Cricetulus griseus: one gene and its partners. The protein of the gene in region 2 interacts with the protein of the main gene of each other region in a pairwise test. Links are inferred from orthologs where the notes say so. Each region holds a gene or a part of one and is shown on either strand. Other genes may lie near its edges.

Region 1 (3,969 bases), on a different chromosome or scaffold from region 2:
TGACTTCTCTTGGGCGTGGTAAATGAGGGATTGGTAATAGTTGACACTTACAAGACATTACCCTCTTCTCATAGGGCAAGGCTCCTACCATGTGCACTAGGCTCACAATTCATACAGGAATCTCTTTTTCTAGAACCTACCTCTTCTAAGCAGAAGAATGAAAGAGACAGTGCCTCTACCTCCAAAAGCATGTTTAGCGAAAGCTGTATTCTGTGTAAGCACATACGAAGATAGGTGGGAAGTGATGGACACCTGGACTGGAGGGCCCTTAAGGGACTAGGTTAGCAAAGGAATGGTTGCAAACAATGGACCTAATGGAATCAGATAAAGGTGGGAATTAGAGAAAGGGACAACTGAGATAAAGCTTAAAAAATAAAAATAACAGGAAATATATACTTGGGGGTTACTAAAGAATGAAATGCAAAAGGTACAGGTTGGAACCAAAGTCTGAAGAAGCTGAAGATGAGTCCGAGAGGCTCACATACAGAAGGAGCAGGAGGATCTGGGGTAAAGAAGAGATCCTACCACCAAAGAATATATTTTAGCTAGGATACATCCAATACTTGATGTTTGATTTATTGTTGTTAATGACTCTTAAAATCCTAAAAGTGGAGAAAATATATTTGCTATGGGTTCTGTGGAGGTTCTGAAGTTGTTGTCTGGCTTGAAGAGTCCATCCTGCATCTTGGGAGAGACAGAACATTCTCACTTGGCCAGAATTGCTTCCTAAGGAAAGAACCTCTGTCAAAGGACCAGTCACAGCACCTGTGTGGGGTACAGGTACGGTTCCTATCCCAGGCACATGGTGACTTGCAGACCCTCTCAGTTAAAAGCTTCATTTTGGAAATCAGGACACAAAGACTAAGTATGCTCTTTCCCTGCACACTCCAGGATCTCCCTAACATAGCTTAGTATGGCACAGATCTTTGCCAAAAGGTCCTGTTGTTCAGCATGCTCTCTGGTGGCTGAGATGCCCTACTCCCTGCAAAGCAAGGGTTGAATACAGACAGAATTTCTGTTACATTCTGAACCAATCATTTTCTGCATATTTGGCAGAACTGAGAAAGGAACAGGACCAAGAGACAGAGAAAATGGTTCAAGACCAAGCTGCTGGACCACTAACTAACCAGCATTCGCAATGGCCTCGGCCTCTCTTGGGTTTTGCTAAATGAAATCTGGTACTAGCTGGCTCCTCCTATCGCCCATCCAACTCTCTAATCATGTCTCAGATGCCTCACTTTCCCAACACTGCTTACCGCATACCACATCACAGTTAGAGGGATCTTCTTAAATATAAATTGGTTCCCATGCTACATCCCATGTTGCTTCCTCACTACAAACCTGATCATTACAGACCACTGTTACCTACTGCTCCTACATGGCCTTCACTGTTCTGTGTGATCTGGCATCCACTTGTCTCTATCCACCATTACTGAGTCCAGCAACAATGGCTTTCTCTGTCTTGAAACCAGCCAGCCTCTCCTGCCTCAAGACCTTTGCACATGCACCACCCACCTTTGCTTTGGCCTGGAGTATTTCTCACCCTATATTCCACACAACTCGCTTCATGTTTCTGTAAAGTGCTATGTCCTCAAAGAGGGCTCCTGACCCTCTTCTGCAATCATCAACAGCCCTCCTGAGCCTTTCTTACTGTGTGCTTGTAGTCTGATGTCTATTTCCTGGGACTGTTTGGCCTCCTTTCCCCTCTAAGGTTGGTTCAGCTTTGCTCACTGCTGTCCACACAGTACCAGGAGCTGAGTGTTTGCTAAGGAAGCACTGCAGCTGCAGAGGGCACACAAAAAGCCAGCCAGCCCAGTGCTTGGAAGCAGGACAGTGAAGTTCTGTGTGTCCCTTCCAAGCAGGACACTTCCCGTCCTTCTGCAGTTACAATGTCAAACCTCTTATCTGTCAGGTGCTTTTGACCTTCCTCCCTCTCAAACATATTCAGCCTAGAATTCCCCACTATAAAATGAATGTGAGCCCACCTTACAAGAGAACACCAGAGTTCTGAGCACAATGTCATCTGGCCCCCAAGGTTCATTCACTGCTGATTCGCACTCTACACAAATGCCTACAGAAATGGCACAAACAACTTGCAAATGAAATCCTGGGCTTCAGTACACTTCAAAGAGAACTACCCTGGAGCCTTCCTCCAGAAACACAGAAGCTCACTGGGCTGGCAACAGATATACCCTCTACTCCAGATAGCATCAAGGATGAGAATGAGTTAAATGACTTCCGAATTCAGGCATTTAAGACAGTAGCAGCTTCCTCTATGTGTCTTAAGACCCAAAAACAGTAGGCATAATTTTTAGGCCACAGTGTATAGAGATCCTGAATGCTGAAGAGCCAACATTAAAATAACTTAACTTTCCTCACTCTATTCTTGCCTTTCAGTACAGAGGTTCATTCACTAGGCTGTCAGGGCAGAAACAAAGGCAGCTGCCTGTTTTCTCCCTTAGTGTCTATAATTAGAGTCTCATGAAGAACTTGGCCACAAAAGGGTTCTCTGGACAACTGCCTCCCCCCCATCACACACACACACACACACACACACACACACACACACACACACACACACACACACACAGCCAAACACCCCCAAAGTGTCTCTCTCCTTACTCATCTCCAGAGAGACCCAGACAAAGCAGCCAGTCACTTACCCTCTTCAGCCACGAGAAATGCTTGTAAACATCAATGTCCCCATCCATGCTGGGGACCCATGTCAGCAGTTAGAGTCCTTAGTTGAGAAAAAGCCCTTTATTCTGGCTGGAGCTCAAGCCCTCTCCTCCTCCCTGCCTCTGCCCCCTCCCCCGCAGGAACAGCAAGCTGTGTTCCAGTTTCCCTACTTCCCTGGCCTGTGTCCTATAGCCTTTCTTTCCCTAACAGGCTCAGATACACAAGACTCAGACTTGACGGTGCTGCTCCAGGGTCCTCCCCCACCGCCCCCACAAGAGGCAGGCAGGCAGGCGGGCAGGCAGGCACACAGACACATGGACACACAGAGAGAGAGACCAAGACTGACTTCAGAGTCCTTCAGAGCAATCAAACCTCATCAAAAGGGGAGGCTGGAGTTGTAAACACACGTACACTTGAACGCATACACTCACTCACACGTGGGCAATGGGAACCTTCTCAGTGATAATACCAGAGCCTGCCAGAGGGAAACAGTCCGGAAGAAAATGCCTTGTCTGGCTTCTCCTTTCTGGTGTGGCTGGAACTCATTACCGAGAGCCCCCGATTTCCTGTCTCTGCTTCCCTCTGCATTTACCCACAGGCTCCCAGCTGCTCTCAGTTTATTTGGGACTAGGGAGACAACTAAAAATAAGCACTACTCCCAGAGGAGTTTTCTGGTTCCCACACACAGACACAGACACACGCAATCACACACACACACACACACACACACACACACACACACACACACACACACCCTGAAGCCCACACCTACCCCTCTCACAGATGGGCCACAGGCTTCCAAAAAGGACAGATTTAGAACCAGCTCCTGTCCCAGTTCTGGGCTCAGAGGTATGCCAGGCCTAGGTAGGCTGTCTGTTGTCCTTGGCACGGCTAGCACTATCCACCAGAGATCAACTGCTACAACCTTGAGACCTTTACTACTGGCTCCCTCAGGGAGTGCTGCTCTGGGCTGTGAGCCACCACCATTTGGGTTCCCTGGAGGCCACATACCATACCAGGGGATTACTGCTTCTGTCCAGGCTCAGGACTGCTTCCTTGCCTCTGGAGGACTACTTTACAAAGCAGGGAGACATGGGGAGTGGCTCCAGGTAAGAAGGAGCCCTGGTAAGCTTGGAGGAGAGGGGAAACTCTATGCTTTCCTAATGGTAGGTCACATGCTGCCTTTCCAGGGTACCCCACTAACACTCCCCAGATGCCACCACCCCTCTTCTCCTCATATTTTGACATCTCCTTTGAGAGCTCCCCCTAAAACAGCTTTTCTCCCTTGCC
Region 2 (4,188 bases):
TATGTGCGTGCTGGTAATTGAACTCGAGTTCTCTAGAAGGACAGTCAGTGCTCCTAACTGGTAAGCCATCTCTCCAGCCCCTAAACTGGAAGTTTTAAAGATTTTCAAAGTTTTATGCAGGGTAACAACAGATTTGTATTTAGAAAACTTGTACTGATGGCTATTACAGTGTCATCCAGCAAGCCAAACTAAGGAACAGCAGCAGGCGGGCTGTGCACTGGAATCTTAGCAATAGTGGCCAGCCAGGCATGTTGGTGCATTCTTATAATCCCTGTACTGGGGAGGCTGGCGTGGAAGGATCTTGAGTCGGCCTGGGCTACATCATAAGATTTCATGTCAAGCAGGGCATTGGTGATGGCACACGCCTTTAATCCCAGCACTCGGGTGGTAGAGGCAGGTGGGTCTCTGTGTTTGAGGCCAGCCTGGTCTACAGAGTGAGTTAGAGGACAGAGAGGGATACACAGAGAAACCCTGTTTCAAAAAAACAAAAACAATTTTTTTCATTTCAAAGTAAAAAAAAATTGAGAGAGATGATCATGATCATGAAGCAAGTGAGAGTAGGAGACATCCATCACTACAACTGAGAATATAGAGGAAACTGTCTGGTTGACATAGGAGCCTCAATCCTTTCTCCTGTCTGAGCATTTTGTTTTCTTTGCATTGAGTATCCTTCCCCACTTGCCATTCAACACCCAATCATTCAAGCCACCTCATCTGTGGACCCTTGTTTGTTGTTTAGGTTTTGTAAGGTAGGGCCTCAGACTCACAGTAATCCTCCTGTCTCAGTTTCCTAAGTGTTGGTGTTACAGTCATGAGTCACATTACCAGTCCCTTGGATCCCTCTACAGACTGCCTAGTTGATCTCTTTATATTCCTGTTTTCCATCATAGCATTTGTTGTTCCTTTGTCATTAATTGTTTCCTGGTTCCTCCCACTGGTCTGTGAATTTGGTGACTTACGGCCCAGTCTGGATCACCACTGCACCTGCAGGGAAATGTAACGTCTATGATTGTTACTGAGTAACAAGAACTTCTGCTTACCTCGGGGGAAACTGAAGAAAACAGCAGAAAAATACCAGCTTGTCAGGGAGCTTTGAGGGAGGCTAACATCTTGGGACCGTTTACTACTCCACTCCTGTAGGTCCTGGGCGAAAGACCTAGGCCACCAATCTGTCAGACACACATCAGTCAGCTTGCAGACTGAAGCTCCGCCCCTTAGTCCTAGACTCCGCCTCCCCATCCTCGGTCGCCAGGGTTTGGACCTGGAGGCGACGCCCATGAAGAAGCCGCGTGCGCACTGCGGGCCCCAAGGACTCCGTTTCCCTTCTCCCAATGGCGGGCGGCGGTCCCCCTTCCCGGCAGCCTCCCTCGGGTAGAGAGCGCGTCATTTCCGGTGGGGAAGGCCCGCGGCCGCCGCCGCCATTTCGGGCGCTGCTGGGAGGCTGACACCGGAGCCGGTCCGCTGGGCGGCGGGCGCCAGGGCTGGAGGGGCGCGCGTGGCGGCGGCGGCCCAGCGTGAAGGCGCGGAGGCGGCCATGGCGGGCAACTTCGACTCGGAGGAGCGGAGTAGCTGGTACTGGGGCCGCTTGAGCCGGCAGGAGGCGGTGGCGCTATTGCAGGGCCAGCGGCACGGGGTGTTCCTGGTGCGGGACTCGAGCACCAGCCCCGGGGACTATGTGCTCAGCGTTTCGGAAAACTCGCGTGTCTCCCACTACATCATCAACAGCAGCGGCCCGCGCCCTCCAGTGCCTCCGTCGCCCGCTCAGCCTCCGCCGGGTGAGGGACAGGCGGGCGGGAGGCCCCGGGCGGGGGTGAGGGCCGTGGAACTCTGGTCCGCTTCAGGAGGAGGGACGTGGGCAGAGAGGGCAGGAGTGACCCTGGCGGGGGAGCTGCCTTCAGCCCAGGCTGGTTCCCACCGACGAGCGGGATTGTGGGGGAGGAGGAGCTGCTCACCGAGGCCTCTGGGTGTGCCTTGGGAGCCGGGGAAGGGGAACTGCTGCGGCCCCGGGGTGGGGCTGGGCGCCAGGGTCAGGCCCAAGGGCAGGGCAGGGCCAGGCAACTTGGGGACAAAGAGTTAGTGGGGATGTTGCGGGGACACAATTTGGCAGAGGTGCCCAGAATGGATCTGCTAATCCTACAAGTGGCTTTTAGGCTTGAAACGTTTCCTGCAGTGTTAGAGCCGGTTTTGGCCATACTCCCCTGGTGGCCTTCGGTAGGAAGTCACCACGTACTGGCTGGCTGGGAGGGATGGAGACACCCTCAGGAAGCCGGTCGGTTTTTTCCTTTCTTGGGCATTTTTCCAAAATCTTTTTACCGTGTTCTTCCCTTGTGGAATACGAAGGTGGTGAACTAAGTGACTTGGTAATAGAAAAAAGCCTTCTGTGACCAGCCCAGAGTAATTGAAGCCTAGCTGGCAAACTGTCCAAGAGGTTTGAAGTGTCCAAAAGACTGCCTGCTGCAACTAGAGTTTCTAGTTTCAAAGTGATTAGTGGGGGAAAGGTTTTTTTTTTTTTTTTCCTTCAGAAAATAAACCAGGTATAAGCCAGTGAGAACAACCCTGGAAGTGAATGGAGCTTCATTCTCCTTGGGTTTAAACAGTGTCAGTCATGTACTTCTGGGTCTTTTATTGCTCAGTAAGTTGGTGTTGTAGTCAAAGTCTTCCAAGATACAAGAACAGACCTGTCTGTAAAGATAACACCAAGCATTTTAGTTATCCCACGGGGTCTTGTCAAGGATCAATGAATTGTAACCGCCTTGCCCATACTGTTGGAGTTGTCTGGCAATGTTAAGGAAATACATCCACTTAGCACTTGAGGTTTTTGAGATACAGAGTGATTCTGTGATTGCCTTTGTCTGTGTATGTATGTAATGCATCAAGTTTCTTGCTTTCTGGATGTTTGAAGTGAAAGCCTTTTTCTCCTAGATCTGAGCCAGTCTCATGAATGAAGACTCCTTGGCTAACCATAGCAGACCTGCCCTTTTTAGGATAGTCCTAACTTAGATTTATTCACTTTGGCCTGAAATGAGGTGCGATAAAGATAGTTCTTTTTGTTAGCACACACAAGTTAAGGGAAGAATTTAGTATTGAGGTCCTTTTAGTTTACACATTTAGATCTTTCTAGGTCTCATTGGTTTAATATGTAAAATAAAATAAGAATATTAATGTAGCACATTTGCCCTAAAGGTATTTGTGCCATCTGCAAGGTATCTATTTTATGTTAAGTGCAGTACTAGGATGGTATGTTGTCATTGAAATTCAATTTCCAACCACATGTCATAGTTAATGCCTGTAATCCCAGCACCTGGGAGACCGAAGCAAGATGATTTTACAAGTTCCAGGCTATCCTGGAGAACTTAGTAAGACTCTGCCTCAAAATAAAAAGTTAGGATGGGGGTGGGACTGGGAATATAATTCAGTGGTAGTTTATTTGCCTAGCATTAGGGAAGCCCAGGTTTTATTTCCAATAGTAGGGTAGAAAATTTCAGTCCTCAGCTTTCTCTCTATGTGTTTTGTTATAAAACTTGGGAATAGTAGCAGGCAGGTTTGTTAGTTTGATATTTCTCCATACCTGGGCATTGTGGTTTTATATCTCAGCAGCTCCACCTTTTCAAAATAGATGGTTGGTCTAAGAGAGGAGATTGCCAGTTTGTGGGTGGGGTAGGAAAGTTCATTGGCATTGTGGCAATTTGTTCTGTCATGTACCCTATTTTCTCTTTAGGGCAGTCAGTTCACTTGCTGTTTTTTACTTTATGATGGATACTTAATCTTTGCCCCCCCCCCATTAAGCTCTTTTTGTTTTAAAGCTACATAGGGATTACTTGAGTTTTAGAGAGGCATATATAATATTAATAGCTGACACTTATTGACTGCTTATTGTATGCCAGATGCTTTGCTGAGGACTTTCTGTGCCTTACAGAAGTTACTGTCGGTAACAATATAGTGAGTGAAATATTGCAATGTGCATTTATTAAAATATTTCCAGTTTTTGGACGAAAGAACTAGAAATCCAGTAACTTGTAAGGTCACAAATTTAGTATATAACTAAACCAGAATTTGAGCTAGACAGTGTCACCTGAGAACTGACCCGGCCCCTTATTATATAGTTTTGTTATTCTTTGTTTATTTGCTTTGAAATCCCTGAAGTGCACTTAGGAAACTCCATTCTTTTGTTTTGAGACAGAGTCTTAC
Region 3 (4,240 bases), on a different chromosome or scaffold from region 2:
CTGGGAATTGAAATCAGGACGTCTGGAAGAGCAGCCAGCGCTTTAACCTCTCTGAGCCATCTCTCCAGCCCCACCCCTTTTCTTTCTTTTTAAAAGAGAGCTGGGAACTCTTAGACCTCAGGAGTACATACAGGCCTTTTCCACCCTTTTTCTATGCTTAAGGAAGATTTCTTAAGTTTTAGATAAAAAGACGTAGGACTAAGCATTCACAGACTCTCACCATTCTCTTTCACTGTCTTTTTCTGTCTCTTCCCCGTTGCTGGAACTTTTACAAAGGATGTACTTGGTTGACTAAACATCTGGCATTCCTCTTCGCAAGCCACTCCTGTGCTGCTGCACTGTGGATGGAGGAGTTACACAGTTATCTGGTGTCTTGAACCAGCATATCTCCTTCCTTGCTCTAAACTAACATCTATGGTCCTCATGAGGTCACTGCATATGGCTGCCAGTGTGAATTCTAAGGGGCCATCATTTGAATAAGCAGTCTGACTTAATGAAATAAGGAAACAATGGTTGGGGGAAAATGAGAGGGTGCCAGCAGGAAAAACAGGCTTGTTGGCAACACAATTTTAACCCTAGCACTAGGAGATTTGTCTTCTTCTTCAAGGACAGGGTTTCTCTGTGTGTAACAACAGCCTTGGCTGTCCTGGAACTCACCACAGAGTTCCACCCACCTCTGTCTCCCAGTGCTGGGATTAAAAGCGTGTGAACAATTTGTGAGTCCCCTGTGAGACTCTTTGAAGGAAAGAGAAAAAAAAAATACGTTGTTATAGTTGCAATCTTAGCCTTGGGCAGCAAGTGGAGGGTCACCAAGGGAGTTAGAAGCCATAATGAGCCTCAGGCCAAGTTGAGGCTAAAGAACAAAATCAAAAGTACAAGATGAGATATAAACAAAAGCAAAAGGGAGAAAGTGACAAAAGACAATAGAGTGCTAGTCTGCTTTTGGGGGAAAGCAGCCTGCATATTCCTCCATTTTATCTCTCACCCCAAAGATTGTTTTTCCCCAGACCTTGGTTCTAAGCCCAAAAAGTCTACTTCAATTCTTATACCTTACTCCTTTGGTCTCATTTCAAGTGTTATTTTGCTGGAATCTCTTTGCAGTCAATTAACCACATACTGCCTCATTTCTACGTGTCGACTGACTGCAACCATTCATGAGGTCCCTTCTGTGAGCAGAACTCCACAAGAGTGGGGTCTCTTGCCAGGCCACCTAAAACCCATGGCAGGAGAATGAGCACACCCCAACACTGCTCGGAACACCAGAACCCACAGGCTGGATGACCCAGAGACCTAGGACAGAAACAAATACGACTACGGGGGGAGGGGAGTTATCAATGTAATGGTGCCTAACGATATTCTGCTATACTCATAGACTGTCAGTAGAGAGGCTTCATCCAGCAACTGATGGAAACAGATGCAGAGTCATAGTCAAACATTAAGAGTTCTGGGAATCCTGCAGAAGATGGGGAGGAAAGATTGTAGAAGACAGAGGGGTCAAGATACTGCAAGAAAACTCACCGAATCAATTAATCTGGGCTCATAGGAGTTCACAGAGACTGAATGGAAAACCAGGGAGCCTGCATGGGACCTAGGTACCCTGCATAGGTTACACAGTTGGGTAGCTTGGTCCTCTTGGGGGATCCCTAACAACGGGGACAGGGGCTATCTCAAACTCCTTTACAGGCAAGGGACCCTACTCCACAGACTGGGTGGCCTTGCCCAGCCTTAATACATGGGGAGGTGTTTGGTATTACTGCAACTTGATATTCCACGTTTTGTTGATACTCATGGGAGACCTGCCCTTTCCTGAACCGAAAGGGCGGGGGCAGGCTTGGGGGGAAGGTTTAGGAAGAGAGGAGGGAGGACACCACCACTGGGTTGTAAAATAAACTTATTTTATAAATAAACTGGGTGGTGGTGGTGACCCGTGCCTTTAATTCCAGTATCCAGGATGCAGAGGCAGGCAGATCTCTGTGAATAGGAGGCTAGAGTGAGTTCCAAGGCAGTCAGGGCAGTTACATTGAGAAACCCTGTCTCAAAACAGCAGATAAGTAAATATATGAATAAAAGCAAACCCTGGTCAGTTTGCTCCCAAACGTAAGGCCTTTCCAAGCCAGACTTCCACCCCCAAGAGCAGCAGTGTGAGATAAATTAACATTTGGATGCTATTTTGCATCTCAATAGGAACTAGCTTCACATTCGCAATCCAGCTTTACATTTGCGTGTCCTTTTCACAAATAATTCAGTTTTAGACCTAACAAAATTTTTACACAATAAAGTTGGAAATGACGGGAACTTGGGAAGGAGACCTGGAGCACACTCACGAGTCTGGCTCCTGCAGTCAGGCACCAGCAAGGTTTGTCCCTCTGAGTCTGCCTTCCCCTTGGAAAGCCCTAGAAACCCTTCAGCTAGGATTCGTGGGCCAAGGCCTCTGGCTCTCCACCGGTATATAGCAGACAGCTATCCAAAAGCCTCTGGTTCATCTTACCTGCTTTACCTTGTGACCACTTTCCTCCAGCCACAGTACTCTAAATTCCTTCCAAGCAAAACATCCCTTTCCAAAACACAACCGCCCTTTCTACTACACCTACAGCAGTCAGGCCCTGGGGCGCCTCGTCTAAGGCCATAAGAGCGCCCCGCTGCTGAGCCCTACACCTGCACGGAACAAATTCTCGTTCTCTTCCTCTCCCCCAAACAAAGGCCGAGTGTGCACGAGACCCACCTATTTAGAAAGCTGAGCCACAAACAAAACAAAACAAAACAAAACAGCTCTCACCTCCTTGCTTTCAGCATGCTCCATCTTCAAATCAGATGAGACCGCTGAAAGAAGATTCTTCCAGCTTCCAAACGACCTCTGGCCTCAGTGAGCTTTTCGAAATCTCCTCCTACTTCCTGTTGCCTTGATGCTGTCTTCCGTCCACCACCCTCGTGATCCCACTCCCCAACAATTTTTGGTGCTGAAGTCTGGCGGTGGCAGGCTTTTTAGTGTTTAATGAAGACTGGCTTAGAACTTACTTTTGCAGCCCAGATGAGCTAAACTCCCAGGGTGGGTCTGCTCAGCCATAGAAAGGTGTGACTTAGAGTCATGAGCCGCCACACCCTGCTCCTGGGGAACTAAAAACTACAAGTATTGTTGGGTGGCACAAGCCTTTAATCCTGCCGTTCCGCTGCCTGAGACAGGAGCATCTTTCTGAGCTCCTAGAGGCCAGCTTGATCTTAAAAAAAGAAAAAAAAAAAAAAGAAAAGAAAAGAAAAGGGAAAGTGGAGTCCCAAAAGAATTCCGAACAAGCTGTGTGAACAGCCTGTCTAATTAGCGAATGAAATTAGAGTCCTGGATTTGAGGAAAACAACCCATTTCTCGTTCCTTGTGAATTCCTTTTCTGTAAACCACAGGGGGCTTGTTTTGTTTTTATGGTGATAGTGCTCTTGGAGAGCCTTGTTTATGCATACTAATCCGTCTACCACTGAGCCACAGCCACAGCCAATAAAATGACAACTTTTGTGAATTCCTTTCAGTCTCATGAAGTTCCGGCTGGCCTGGGGCTCAGAGAGATCTTCCAGTTTCTGCTTCTGAATGTTGGGATCAAGGGGCCTCACTACACCTGGCCAAGGTTTGCATTTCTGTTCTTCCTGTCTCAGCCTGCCCAGTGCTGGAATTCAGGCCTCTAAACCTGGTTTAAAACTGTACATTTCTATCTGCCTACTCTTAATAGTTTATAAAGTCCACTGGGAAGTGGTGGTACAAGCCTTTAATCCTAGCACTAAGGAGACAGGTGGATCTCTATGAGTTCAAAGCCAGCCTGATCTACAGAGAGAATTCCGGAACAGCTACGGCTACACAAAGAAACCCTGTCCCCAAAATAATAATAATAAACATAAATAAGATAAAAATTTAAAAAGCAAAGTTCAGCCTGGTGCTAGTGCATGCCCAGGACAGCCAAGGCTACACAGAGAAACAAACAAAAAGGAAAAGTTCATGTTGAATTTTGCTTTGTCTCAGTGTAATTGGAGAAAACATCAATGGGATTGGAGACATGGGAATTTATTTGTTTATCGTGTGTGAGGGCTGGTCATGCATGTGCCAAGGCAATCCACAGAAGGTCTGAGGACTGTTTCCACCATGTGGGTTCCAGGTGTTTCGAAAGGAAGAAAGTCTATGCCAGGCCTGACGGGCAAGACATTGGTTCTCCACGCTAAGATCAATGGAAGAGTTGTTTAACATCTCAAGGTGTTGTTTCTG
Region 4 (3,500 bases), on a different chromosome or scaffold from region 2:
TCACATGATAAGTCACATAGTTTCTCTTAGGCTAGGGATGTCACATTGACTGGCCAGTGAATAATGCTTGGCCATGCATGTTGCCTAAATAGGTACAGTTCTCAGAAAGAAAATGACATTGCAATTCAAGCCTTAACAGTCAGCTATACTGTGAGTGGTAGGGAGTACACGGAGGAAGTCCATTGCTCCAGGGAGTTTGTCTACTAACGTCACTTTTGGCTCTGACCTTGAATCAGCAAAACAGCTGGGAAAATGACCTCATGTATTTGTCTCTAGGGGCAACCAGCCTGCTTGGAATTTGTTGTCTTTGTGGCTAAGAAAACTTATTGCTTTCCTATGTCAGTCTCAATAATGAAAGATATTCATTATTCTATTCATCAAAATTATGCAGATTAAACAGAAATCATCTTCTTGACCAGCCACAGTTATATGTGTGCCCAATAGATGGAATATTTACGTGAGATAAACACATAAGCAGTGGGAAAACACCCACAGCAGTTCTTAGGGAAGAAATGCAGTGGCACATGAGAGAAATTACAGATACAGGCAACCAGTTTTCAGAGTCGGTGGTCCTGTAAGCCTTGCTTGACATGATTATCTCCATCAGAATTATTTGTCTGCTGGCTTGACACCTGAATTATCAATTGCCATATGCTGTATACTTCCCTGGCCCCCTGCAGTGCCCTGTTTTTAAGTTGGGTTGTTTGCTTTCTTGTTTAATTTTTGAATTCTTTATATATTCTAGATACTAACTCTGTTAGATATATAACTAGTAAAGATTTTCCCCAGTCTGTAGGCTGCCTCTTTATTCAAGTAATAGTGCCCTTTGCTGTACAGAAACATTTTAGTTCCCTGAGGTCCCATTTGCAAATTGTTGTCTTAATGCCTGTGCTATTGATGTTCTGTTTACAAAGTCTTTTGCTGTGCTAATGAGTTCAAGTGTATTTTCTACCTAGCAGCAAACCTTCTGTGCAGTTACAGGATGCTCACAATCTTCAGGAGTCTAGGAAAGGTGCTCAGGGCTTTTCTTCAAGTAGTGGGTGCTGGTAGACTTGGTGATAGTTGTCTGGGATCCCTATGTGAAGAGGAAGGCCAAGAGTGGAGGGCTGGAAGGCAGGTGCTGGCTACGTGGTCCTCAGGCAAGCTTCAGGTATGGGTGGCATTGCTGATTTGGAGAGAGGATGGTCCTTGTGTAGTAGGGATGAGTGGAGTTGGAGCAGGAGCCTGGTGTCTGCCTCGAGAAGGGACCAGGTGTTTGCAGTAGAGATGGATAAAGCTGGCCCAAGTGAGTGGAACTGAGTTATATGGGGAATATAATCTGTCTTATATAGGCATGGTTCAGGGTCCCTCAGAGTGGGTAGGTAAGAATAGTGCAAGTTGTGGCTCCCTCCTGTTCAAAGAGGAGGTGAGTAGCAAGGGATGCAGCAAGTAAAAAGACGCATTCTTAAACAACAGTAACAAAAAGATTGTCATTTACTACTGATCCATGGTATCCATTTGAAATTTCATGGATTTGTTGCAAATGACATTGCTTGAATTATGGTATAAGTAAAGTAGGAATATAAAAAGGAAATCAGGATTGGGAACATGGTCAATCTGGTTTACCTAATAAGGTTAAGGACCTGAGTTTGATTCTCAGTTCTATGTAAAATTGCTAGCCATGTTCATACACACTTGTAATCCCAGAGCTAAGTGAGGAGGCAGAGGCAGGAGAATCTCTAGTGCTCATTGGCTATCCCCTTAGCTTCATGGGTAAGCTCCAGGCCAGTGGGAGACATTGTTTCAAGGTATGTTGTGGATGTTCCTGAGGATGACTGACACTTGAAGTTGTCTCCTGACCTCCACATGAACATACACTGTGTGTGCACGCTCACATGTGCTCGCTCACACATACATACACACACACACACACACACACACACTTTTTAAAAAGTTAACCTGACTTTACTTAATAGGAGAATGATTGGAATGTAGGAAATGTTTCTGATACTGAATTCTAGATATCAGCCACTGTGATTGGTATTTAAAATAAGGCTTTAAATGTATTTTTTCCCTTAACTTTTAAAGCTAGTACTGTAGAAAGTGAATACTTGAACATCTGAAGTGATTATATAGATTATGGTATTCATTGCGTTTACACATGGAAAATGTTCGGTTAAAAATAGTTATATATTAAAGTGTTCTCTGCAAGGTCAGAAACTTACTTCATTTGTATTTTTAATTAGGAAAATATATTGGCGAGGATTCATTTTCACTTGGTGCCGAGCAGGGATGCAGACATGTGCACATCCAAATCATGTGTCACTCACCAGAAGTTTGCTATGACTCTGTATGAACAGGTAAGATGTCTTCATTATCTAATTAAATGCTAGACTTCTGTCTCGGGATTGATAGAGTAAGCCTATGTTTTTGCCTGTAGTGTGTGTGCCGCAGCTGTGGAGCATCTTCAGACCCTCTACCCTTTACAGAGTTCGTGAGGTACATTTCTACGACAGCCCTGTGGTAAGCCCTCTCAGCGTATTTAACAAAGTATAAGAGCATGTGTAAGCACAGTGACATTTATTCTGTAAAGTTTTTAACATAGTATGGATTTCTCTGTGTGATGCTATCAAATGGGCTTTCACACGGGAGCCTAAGAGCTAGCTTTCTCAGCTGGAGGCTTAGGACTTAGCATAATATCAGTTACCTGAAGTGCTTGACTAAAGTTTCAAATTTTGGTTTGGACTATTTGCATATTTGTAATATAGTATGTTTCGGGTACAACCCAATGCTAAAGATGGGATTCGTTTGTTTAATACATATCTTATATCAATAATCTGATGGTAATTTATGAAGTATTCATAGAGAACCTGCATCTTAAATGTGACCCATTATGTAAACTTAGGTTTAGAATTTACCATTCGTAACATGATTTCAGCACTCAAAAAATTTCAGATTTTGGAGCATTTCAGACTAAATGCATTGTTAAGTAAAATGTACAGCATTTATATCTTTTGTATTCATAGCTTGAAATGAGACACTCATTGGTAAATGGACTGCACATGATATCTTCATCTTTACTAAGATGGTCCCTTTGTGTTAGCCTTGTTTCCCACCACATTCATTGTCTCCTTATGATGGTAAAAGCTAGGCTAAAGGAAAAAGAAAGGAAATGTGAACATAATCCTTATGTAGGTTCTTGGATTTGAAACCTCAACAGTCACCTTAAGATTCTGCCATGCTTACTGCCTGCCTGTCTGCCAGCTCCTTCCCTCTCCATGAAACAGCTAGATAAGATGCAAAATCTGTCCTAGACTTTATGTACCACCAGTCAATCAAAGTTACTCAGAAGTCCTTTACGGAGGATGGAGATTGAAACTCACATCCATCTGATTGCAGAACGAGCAGTTACTCTGGTACTGTCAGTTCTGTGAAATGGCCTTGTGCAGTGTGAATGCTTATCAGAGTTTGAGTGTGTTCTAGCATACCTGTGCAGTATGCTAGGGGAGTACTTTTGGTTG
Region 5 (3,500 bases), on a different chromosome or scaffold from region 2:
AACAGCCCAAGGAGCCTATACTTTTCAGAAAGTTTAATGAGCTTAGGCCTAAAAATTATGAACCACTATGAACTACTCCCAACCCTTCTCAGTCATTCATCATACTTAGGCTATCAACAGGGAAAATAAATCAATACCACAATGTAACTTTCTGGGTTACAAGACCAGGCAATCCTAACCTGATTCCATCCCTTAAAAGCTTAAAAATTAGCCAGGCATTGGTGGCGCAGGCCTTTAATCCCAGCACTCGGGAGACAGAGGCAGGCGAATCGCTGTGAGTTCGAGGCCAGCCTGGTCTCCAGAGCGAGTGAGTGCCAGGATAGGCTCCAAAGGTACACAGAGAAACCTTGTCTCGAAAAAAAAAAAAAAAAAAAAAAAAAAAAAAAAAAGGCTTAAAAATTGAGCAGGATGGTGGTGGTTCTAGACTTGAGAAGCAAAGGCAGCCGGATCTCTGTGAATTTGAGGTTAGCCTAGTCTACAAAGACAGCCAGGGCTACATAGAAAAACCCAAAAAGTTAAATTAAAAAAAAAAAGTCTAAAAACTTTAAGTGACTTCTATAGCCAGTACTTTCCTAAAGTGCAACAAATAGTTTGAAAATAGTTTGAATAAATAAAAACATACACGCCAAAGGTAACAATAATTCCTATTATACTGAGATGTCAATATTACTGTCTTTATGAAAAAAAACCACATAGTGGGTTGCCCTATGTGCTCTGACCTAGGTACACTAAAGACAGTAAAAACTATAAATGGCAAGGGCATTAGATTATATCAATCATTATTCACTTTCCCTTTTCTTCACCTCCTTTTTCTTTTTTGCCACAAGAGGAATTTTCCTAACACTAAACATCTCCAAAATAACAAGTACTAACTAGGTCGATAGTTAAAATTCACTGCTACTCTCAGTCAGAATTTCAAATATATTAATATACACAAACTAAAAAGAAAGATTTTTGCATTGTGTTTCTCTCTTCAGGTATCCAAAAAGCAGTAGTGCAGTAGTCTCAGATAGAGAAATAGAACTCACCTCTCGTAACTCCCGAATCTGCTCTGACAACCCTCCAATCTCAGAATAAGAAACATTTCCAGGGTCCTCATGAGACATGTTGTAAACCAAAGGATCCACCTCTCTTGGCAAATACCTAAAATGAAAAAATCAGGTGTTCTTCTTTCAAAAGACTTATTTCCTCTCAGTTTACATAGTAAGTATAAACAATTTACTTATGCAAGCACCTGTAAGTACTTTCTAAAAATATTTAATTTAGTAAATAAGTAAATGGTAAGAAGTAGTAAAATCTTTGATGACTGCACAAATCCTGTATTTTTAGAAAACTTTCCATCTGAAAATGAAACAAACTAAACAATAAGAAACCCACCTCATTATAGTTAGTGTAGTCATATCCAAAGCAACTCTTGTTCCTGGCTTCAGCTTACTTTTATCAAGCTGGTTTTATAAAACAAAAAGTGTTACACAAACATTTTAAAAGGGAAACACTATACAAGTCATATATATTTTTATACATCATAGAAAACACAAAGATTACATTATAAATGCCCTGTTAATAGAACAGCCAATAAGCTGCACCTTTAATCCCAGCACTCAGGAGGCAAAGGTAGGCCGATCTCTGTGAGTTCGAGGCCAGCCTGGGTCTACAGAGCAAGTTCCAGGACAGCCTCCAAAGCAATGCAGAAAAACCCTGTCTTGAAAAACTAAAAACAAAACAAAACAAAACAAAACAAACAAACAAACAAAAAAACAAGGAAAAAAAAAAGGACAGCCAATAAAGAAGTAACTTCTTTAAAGTTATTTCTATGTGACCCTTATAAGAGTGTTCTTTGTGCAACCTCAGTATGAAATCAGAGATCACTAATATATAAAACTTGAGGTAACAATTGCCCTTTTAGTTTTTTAAACTTTTAACATTTATGTGTGTGTGTGTAACAATAGTGTGCATATATAGTCAGAGGACAATGTGCAGGAATTGGTTCTCTTCTTCTACCATTATCATGGGTTCTTGAGATTGAATTCATGTGGTCAGGCTTGGTAGCAAGTATCTTTATCCATTAAAGTGGCCATGTTTTTGAAGAAGGGATAGACTTTGGAATTTTATTCTCAAGACTCATTATTTAATATAATTTTATTCATTATTTTGATTCAAAAATCTATAGAAAAAAGTTACTTTGGGAACTGGCACCAAAATATTTATGTTGGGGGGGGGTGCAGTTTGTAAGTGTATCCATTAAATATATTTTGAAAATCTTTTAGAAGAAAATATTTATATGCATAATCATAAAAGATAAGGAAACCATTGTTTCCTCTTAAGAGACTTTCATCAAAATAAAAAGGAAGGCAAGCCTATGGTGATGGTGCATGCATTTAATCCCAGTACTGGGGAGGCAGGGCAAGAAGAACTGTTGGAGTTCAAGACCAGTCTGGTCCACAGAATGAGTTTCAGAACAGACATGACTACACAGAGAAACCCTGTGTTGAAAAACCAAAACCAGTCTCAACCAAAACAAAACAAAACCAGAATGCAAAAGACAAAACAAAAAGCTCAAACTACCTTGACTTTTATACAACAGACCTTATATTGAATACCTTAGGTTGAATATTTTTATTATTTTTATTAGCACACCTTTACATAGTAACTTATAGGCTATTGTAGTCAACTTTGATGCATTTGTCAAAAATAAAAAGTTACTTTCCAATGGTTTCAAAATTTGTTTGCCATTACATTTTCAGAATCATAACTTGTATAAGATTCTACAATGAGTTACAAATTTAGGAGAATGTGCTCACTAAAACTGAAATTATAGAGAGATAGATGGCCCAGCAGTTAAGAGCACTGGCTGTTCTTCCAGAGGACCCAAGTTCAATTCCTAACATCTACATGATAGCTCACAACTGTCTGTATCTCCAATGCACAAAAAATAAATTTAAATAAATTATTTTTTAAAAATACCTAAAACAAAAATGAAATGATCCATGCAAGATAGTTACTGATAATGGCACTGACTAAATCAATTAAAGTGCCGAGTCCTTTATTAATGGCTAGACCAAGAATGGGCTCTCATCTCTGCAAAGTTTCTTGGTGCCCAAGCACAGGGGCACAGAATTTTTGCAAGACAAAACATTAATTACATCAGGACTGGAGGAATGGGGAAGATTAGTAAGGGATTTGGAGTTGCCTAGTAACATCTGCTTCTTTTACAGGCCCCATCAGTATCTTCCAGACACTATATAATACCTTTGGAACATGATCAAGGTTGTGGACAGTCCCAGAAGCATTATCAAGGTGAATGTGGTTGTTTGGGTGGAAGGCTGAGAAGTGACCAGGTAGGCACAAAATAACACCAGGAGAGAATGGTGTTACCTTAGTCATCTCAAAATGAAGTAAGGATGTGGCTCAGCTTGTAAGAGCTGTTTTCAAGAGGAAGGACCCAAGCTCACATCTCCCTCACTTCTGAAAAAGCCAAGCCCATTATGAGGGTTGAACCT
Region 6 (3,500 bases), on a different chromosome or scaffold from region 2:
ATACACATACACTAACAGACAATGGATAGGTAGGTACTACTCCCATGTCTTGATTAACTTTTACTTCTGTGATCTCCCTTGGCATCTCCAGATTGAATGATGTTGAATGATAGTTACCTGTTTTAAAGTGTATGAATAAATAGTTTGATTTTATTTAGTCTTCTCATAAAGCCTTTTCAACCTAAAGATGGCCCAGTGGAGCAGTAAGTGTCATTTCATTTTTCACATGAAGGAGGGTAGCTCTGAAATATTAAATGCCATAACTTGCAATTATATCCACCATTACTCCCTCCCTCACCAAGTAGAATTAATCCTTATTCAACTTTGTGTTTTTATTCTAATTTTAATCTATATATATTTGGGAGTTTTTTATCTAAGAATTTTATTATACTTATGTATGTGTGAGTGCTTGGGGTTTTATCATGGTGCACCTGTGGAGGTCAGATGACAACTAGTAGGAATCTGGTCTCTTTTCTACCATGTGGGTTCCAGAGTTTGAGCTTAGATTGTCATTCTTGGTCACAAGCCGTCTTAGCTGCTGAACCATTTCATTCTCCTGGGGCTTTTCCTGTCTAATCTCCACAATTTCATTTGTGTCGACATGTAAAGATTATCTCATTTTTTGTTCATATACAAAAGTTGTTACTTTACCATCTTTGTTCACCTGGAATCTCTTTTAGGTAATCCTTTAAGTAGTTCTCTGACCTTAATTTATTTCTGCCTGTTGATTTGGTTACTATGCTCAAAATACTTGATAAATATAGAAATTGAGTTGTAAAAGTATAGTAATATGCTGGGTGGTGGCGGCGCACACACCAGCACTCAGGAGGCAGAGGCAGGTGGATCTCTGTGAGTTCCAGGCCAGTCTGGTCTACAAAGCAAGTTCCAGGACAGCCAGATAGCCAGCACTATTACACAGAGAAACCCCATCTCAAAGAACAAAACCAAACAAACAAAAAAGTATATTAATATAAATAACTAGTCCTTAAAAGGATACAACTATTTCTGTGAAATATTTTCCTTGTGTCGAAATACTAGATTTTAGTGAATTTATACACTATGGCAAGAAGAAAAGGGAAGGTACTTTTACTTTCCTTCTAAAATTAAAACAAGCATTTAGACTTTAAAGGTAATTCCTATGTCAAAATGTGTAACTTTTCATTTTCATTTAGAAAAATGAAAGTCGTCAACTCACTCAGATTCAGTACACAGCGTGGCCTGACCATGGAGTACCTGATGATTCAAGTGACTTTTTGGATTTTGTTTGTCATGTCCGAAACAAGAGGGCTGGAAAGGAAGAACCGATTGTTGTTCATTGCAGGTATTTATATCCTGCCCTTAATGAATGAATAATTGGGTGCTTGGGGGAATACATAGTGTATTTTGACCTTTTATTATGATTAATACTGTGATATTTAGATCGAAAGTTGTGTTCCGAGGTTGAAGGCAAAGGGGATATTATAATAGTACTGTGTCAGAAACTATGGAAAGGAAAAAAAATAGCCACTTTCTTAGCTCTTTTCCTATTTTAATATCCTGAAATTGGAATGTGTCTTATAATTGATTGTAAGTTAGATTTGATGAAATACTGCCTTTATCTTCATGTGTTTGTGTTGGTATAACAAGATACTCAAAACTATGTAGTTAATAAAAGCAGAAATAGAGTTTTCAGTTTTGGATTGCAAAACTAAGTGTGGCCAGCAGAGGTCCTTAGTACACAAGCAAGGGGAGCTAATAAAGTGAAGCTAGCCTTGTGGGCCTCTGAAGCTTAGACAGTATGGAAAGCATCAGATCCAAATTGTCATCCTTCTTTTATATTTTAAAATTTTTGAGATGAGGTCTCCTATAATATGTGCAGGTCTTGTACCTTTTTTTGTAACTGGATAACCCTGAAATCCTGATCCTCAGTCTTCCATTTCCCCAATTCTGGAGTTACACATGTGTACTGCCATTCTTGTCTTAAAAAATAAAACTTTCATGTTTTTTTTTATTTTTGAATTCCCTTGCTTAAGTTTATCTGTTTGTGTTTTTCATTATTCAACACCTTTTTTTCTTTTCATTTTTAATCTCCTGGTTTTTTCCTCCCTTTTATAATTTGTCTGTATTCCTTTTCCTTTTATTTAACATTGCTTTTTATATCTGTTTTCTCTCCTTTCCTGGCTTCTTCCTTTATCTTATTCATTACAACTTCCAAATTTGTCTGAATGATTTTTAACTTCATAGTATACTTTCCATTAGTTTTGCCATTTTCTCCTCTTTGGTCATTGATGGTGTATTATGGGCTTTGATCAATTTTTTCTTTGTTTGGTTGGTTTTACTTTTGGTTTTTTGAGACAAGGTTTCTCTGTGTAGCACTAGCTGTCCTGGAACTTGCTCTGTAGACCAGGCTGACCTTAAACTCAGATCTGCCTGCCTCTGCCTCCTTAGTGCTGGATTAAAGGCATGCAACACTAATTCCCAGCTGGGTTTTGGTCAATTTTAACTGCATATCACATTCAGTGTAGTGCTATTGTTGATAAACCAATTTGTTTTCATCTTCCTTAGTGTATTGGGGGTTTAGCCTGCAAGAGTAGGCTTCACACTCAGCAAATCTCCAAAGAAAACTAAAATGAAAATCCACACCAACAGAAGCACAAATTAGGACACAGAAATACTCCTTGATTACTGAACTCAAAGATACTAAAACAGATAAAATGTTGGGTGAATTCAAACATTTTCTTGTAAAAATAATCGATGACTTCAAAGAACATACAAAACAAACAGATTAATGAACTAAGGATTTCACATTGGGACTTGGGAAGAAAAGTAGCAGAAAGGGGGACAAAGTAAGAAAGTGGGTGGGAAAGTTAATTTGCACATGAATGAGGAAATAAAGAAATTGAGATTAATAAAACAGAAATGTTGGAAATGAAAAACTGAGTAGAGCAAAATTTAAATATGGAATGTAGAAATCACCAATAGGCTAGACCGTAGCACAGATTAAACAGAGACAGCTATTGGGATTAAAGTGGGAGATTAGAAAGCAAGAGCATCCAAGCCACTAGAGAGTTCTTAATTCTACCAAGGCTAGGGGAGATCCTGTCCTCAGTATGACTGCAGTCTGCAATGCTCTCTCCACCACTGCCTGGTCTCTATGACTAACTAATATGGCTGGCTAGCTTTGCACTCTGATCTTCATGCAAACTTTATTTTTGTTAGATCATCAACAAAATATCACCACACTAGACTAAGCAAAAACAATAAAAGAACATCAGGATATGGACAAAGTTTGAAGAATGCTATACAAACATGATGGTTTAACAGCAAGCAAACAAAAAGACACAAACATAACTTTCAAAAACTGTAGGATATGCTCAAGAGAAATAACCTAGAAGTCTGTGGGATGGAATGAGTCAATGTAAAAGCTAATGGTCTAGAAAATGTATTCAATAAAATCATAGCAGTTTCCAAGTCTAGGGAAGAAATAAACATCTAATCCCAAGTGGTATTTAGAGCCCTAA

What was found.
Region 1: the proteins of Crk (region 2) and Ppfibp2 interact in binary tests that used the Homo sapiens proteins (3 or more experiments, as listed by UniProt). The link is inferred for Cricetulus griseus from reciprocal best matches to the Homo sapiens genes CRK and PPFIBP2.
Region 3: the proteins of Crk (region 2) and Dppa4 interact in binary tests that used the Homo sapiens proteins (3 or more experiments, as listed by UniProt). The two-hybrid records come from large-scale screens. The link is inferred for Cricetulus griseus from reciprocal best matches to the Homo sapiens genes CRK and DPPA4.
Region 4: the proteins of Crk (region 2) and Usp53 interact in binary tests that used the Homo sapiens proteins (3 or more experiments, as listed by UniProt). The two-hybrid records come from large-scale screens. The link is inferred for Cricetulus griseus from reciprocal best matches to the Homo sapiens genes CRK and USP53.
Region 5: the proteins of Crk (region 2) and Psmc6 interact in binary tests that used the Homo sapiens proteins (3 or more experiments, as listed by UniProt). The two-hybrid records come from large-scale screens. The link is inferred for Cricetulus griseus from reciprocal best matches to the Homo sapiens genes CRK and PSMC6.
Region 6: the proteins of Crk (region 2) and Ptpn4 interact in binary tests that used the Homo sapiens proteins (3 or more experiments, as listed by UniProt). The link is inferred for Cricetulus griseus from reciprocal best matches to the Homo sapiens genes CRK and PTPN4.

Annotation. Positions count from the first base shown.
Region 1 is NC_048596.1:92,570,286-92,574,254, forward strand, and holds the start of Ppfibp2 (liprin-beta-2), read right to left. Parts: upstream 2,801-3,969; 5' UTR 2,712-2,800; coding exon 2,664-2,711; intron 1-2,663. UniProt on the Homo sapiens protein: May regulate the disassembly of focal adhesions. Did not bind receptor-like tyrosine phosphatases type 2A.
Region 2 is NC_048600.1:89,144,120-89,148,307, forward strand, and holds the start of Crk (adapter molecule crk), read left to right. Parts: upstream 1-1,388; 5' UTR 1,389-1,534; coding exon 1,535-1,775; intron 1,776-4,188. UniProt on the Homo sapiens protein: Involved in cell branching and adhesion mediated by BCAR1-CRK-RAPGEF1 signaling and activation of RAP1.
Region 3 is NC_048597.1:42,777,674-42,781,913, forward strand, and holds the start of Dppa4 (developmental pluripotency-associated protein 4), read right to left. Parts: upstream 2,801-4,240; coding exon 2,777-2,800; intron 339-2,776; coding exon 221-338; intron 1-220. UniProt on the Homo sapiens protein: May be involved in the maintenance of active epigenetic status of target genes. May inhibit differentiation of embryonic cells into a primitive ectoderm lineage.
Region 4 is NW_023276806.1:35,529,253-35,532,752, forward strand, and holds part of Usp53 (inactive ubiquitin carboxyl-terminal hydrolase 53), read left to right. Parts: intron 1-2,225; coding exon 2,226-2,339; intron 2,340-2,419; coding exon 2,420-2,502; intron 2,503-3,500. UniProt on the Homo sapiens protein: Deubiquitinase that mediates 'Lys-63'-linked deubiquitination of tight junction proteins, such as MARVELD2 and LSR, and which is involved in the survival of auditory hair cells and hearing.
Region 5 is NW_023276807.1:201,334,725-201,338,224, reverse strand, and holds part of Psmc6 (26S proteasome regulatory subunit 10B), read right to left. Parts: intron 1,446-3,500; coding exon 1,378-1,445; intron 1,144-1,377; coding exon 1,029-1,143; intron 1-1,028. UniProt on the Homo sapiens protein: Component of the 26S proteasome, a multiprotein complex involved in the ATP-dependent degradation of ubiquitinated proteins.
Region 6 is NC_048598.1:68,819,343-68,822,842, forward strand, and holds part of Ptpn4 (tyrosine-protein phosphatase non-receptor type 4), read left to right. Parts: intron 1-1,172; coding exon 1,173-1,321; intron 1,322-3,500. UniProt on the Homo sapiens protein: Phosphatase that plays a role in immunity, learning, synaptic plasticity or cell homeostasis. Regulates neuronal cell homeostasis by protecting neurons against apoptosis.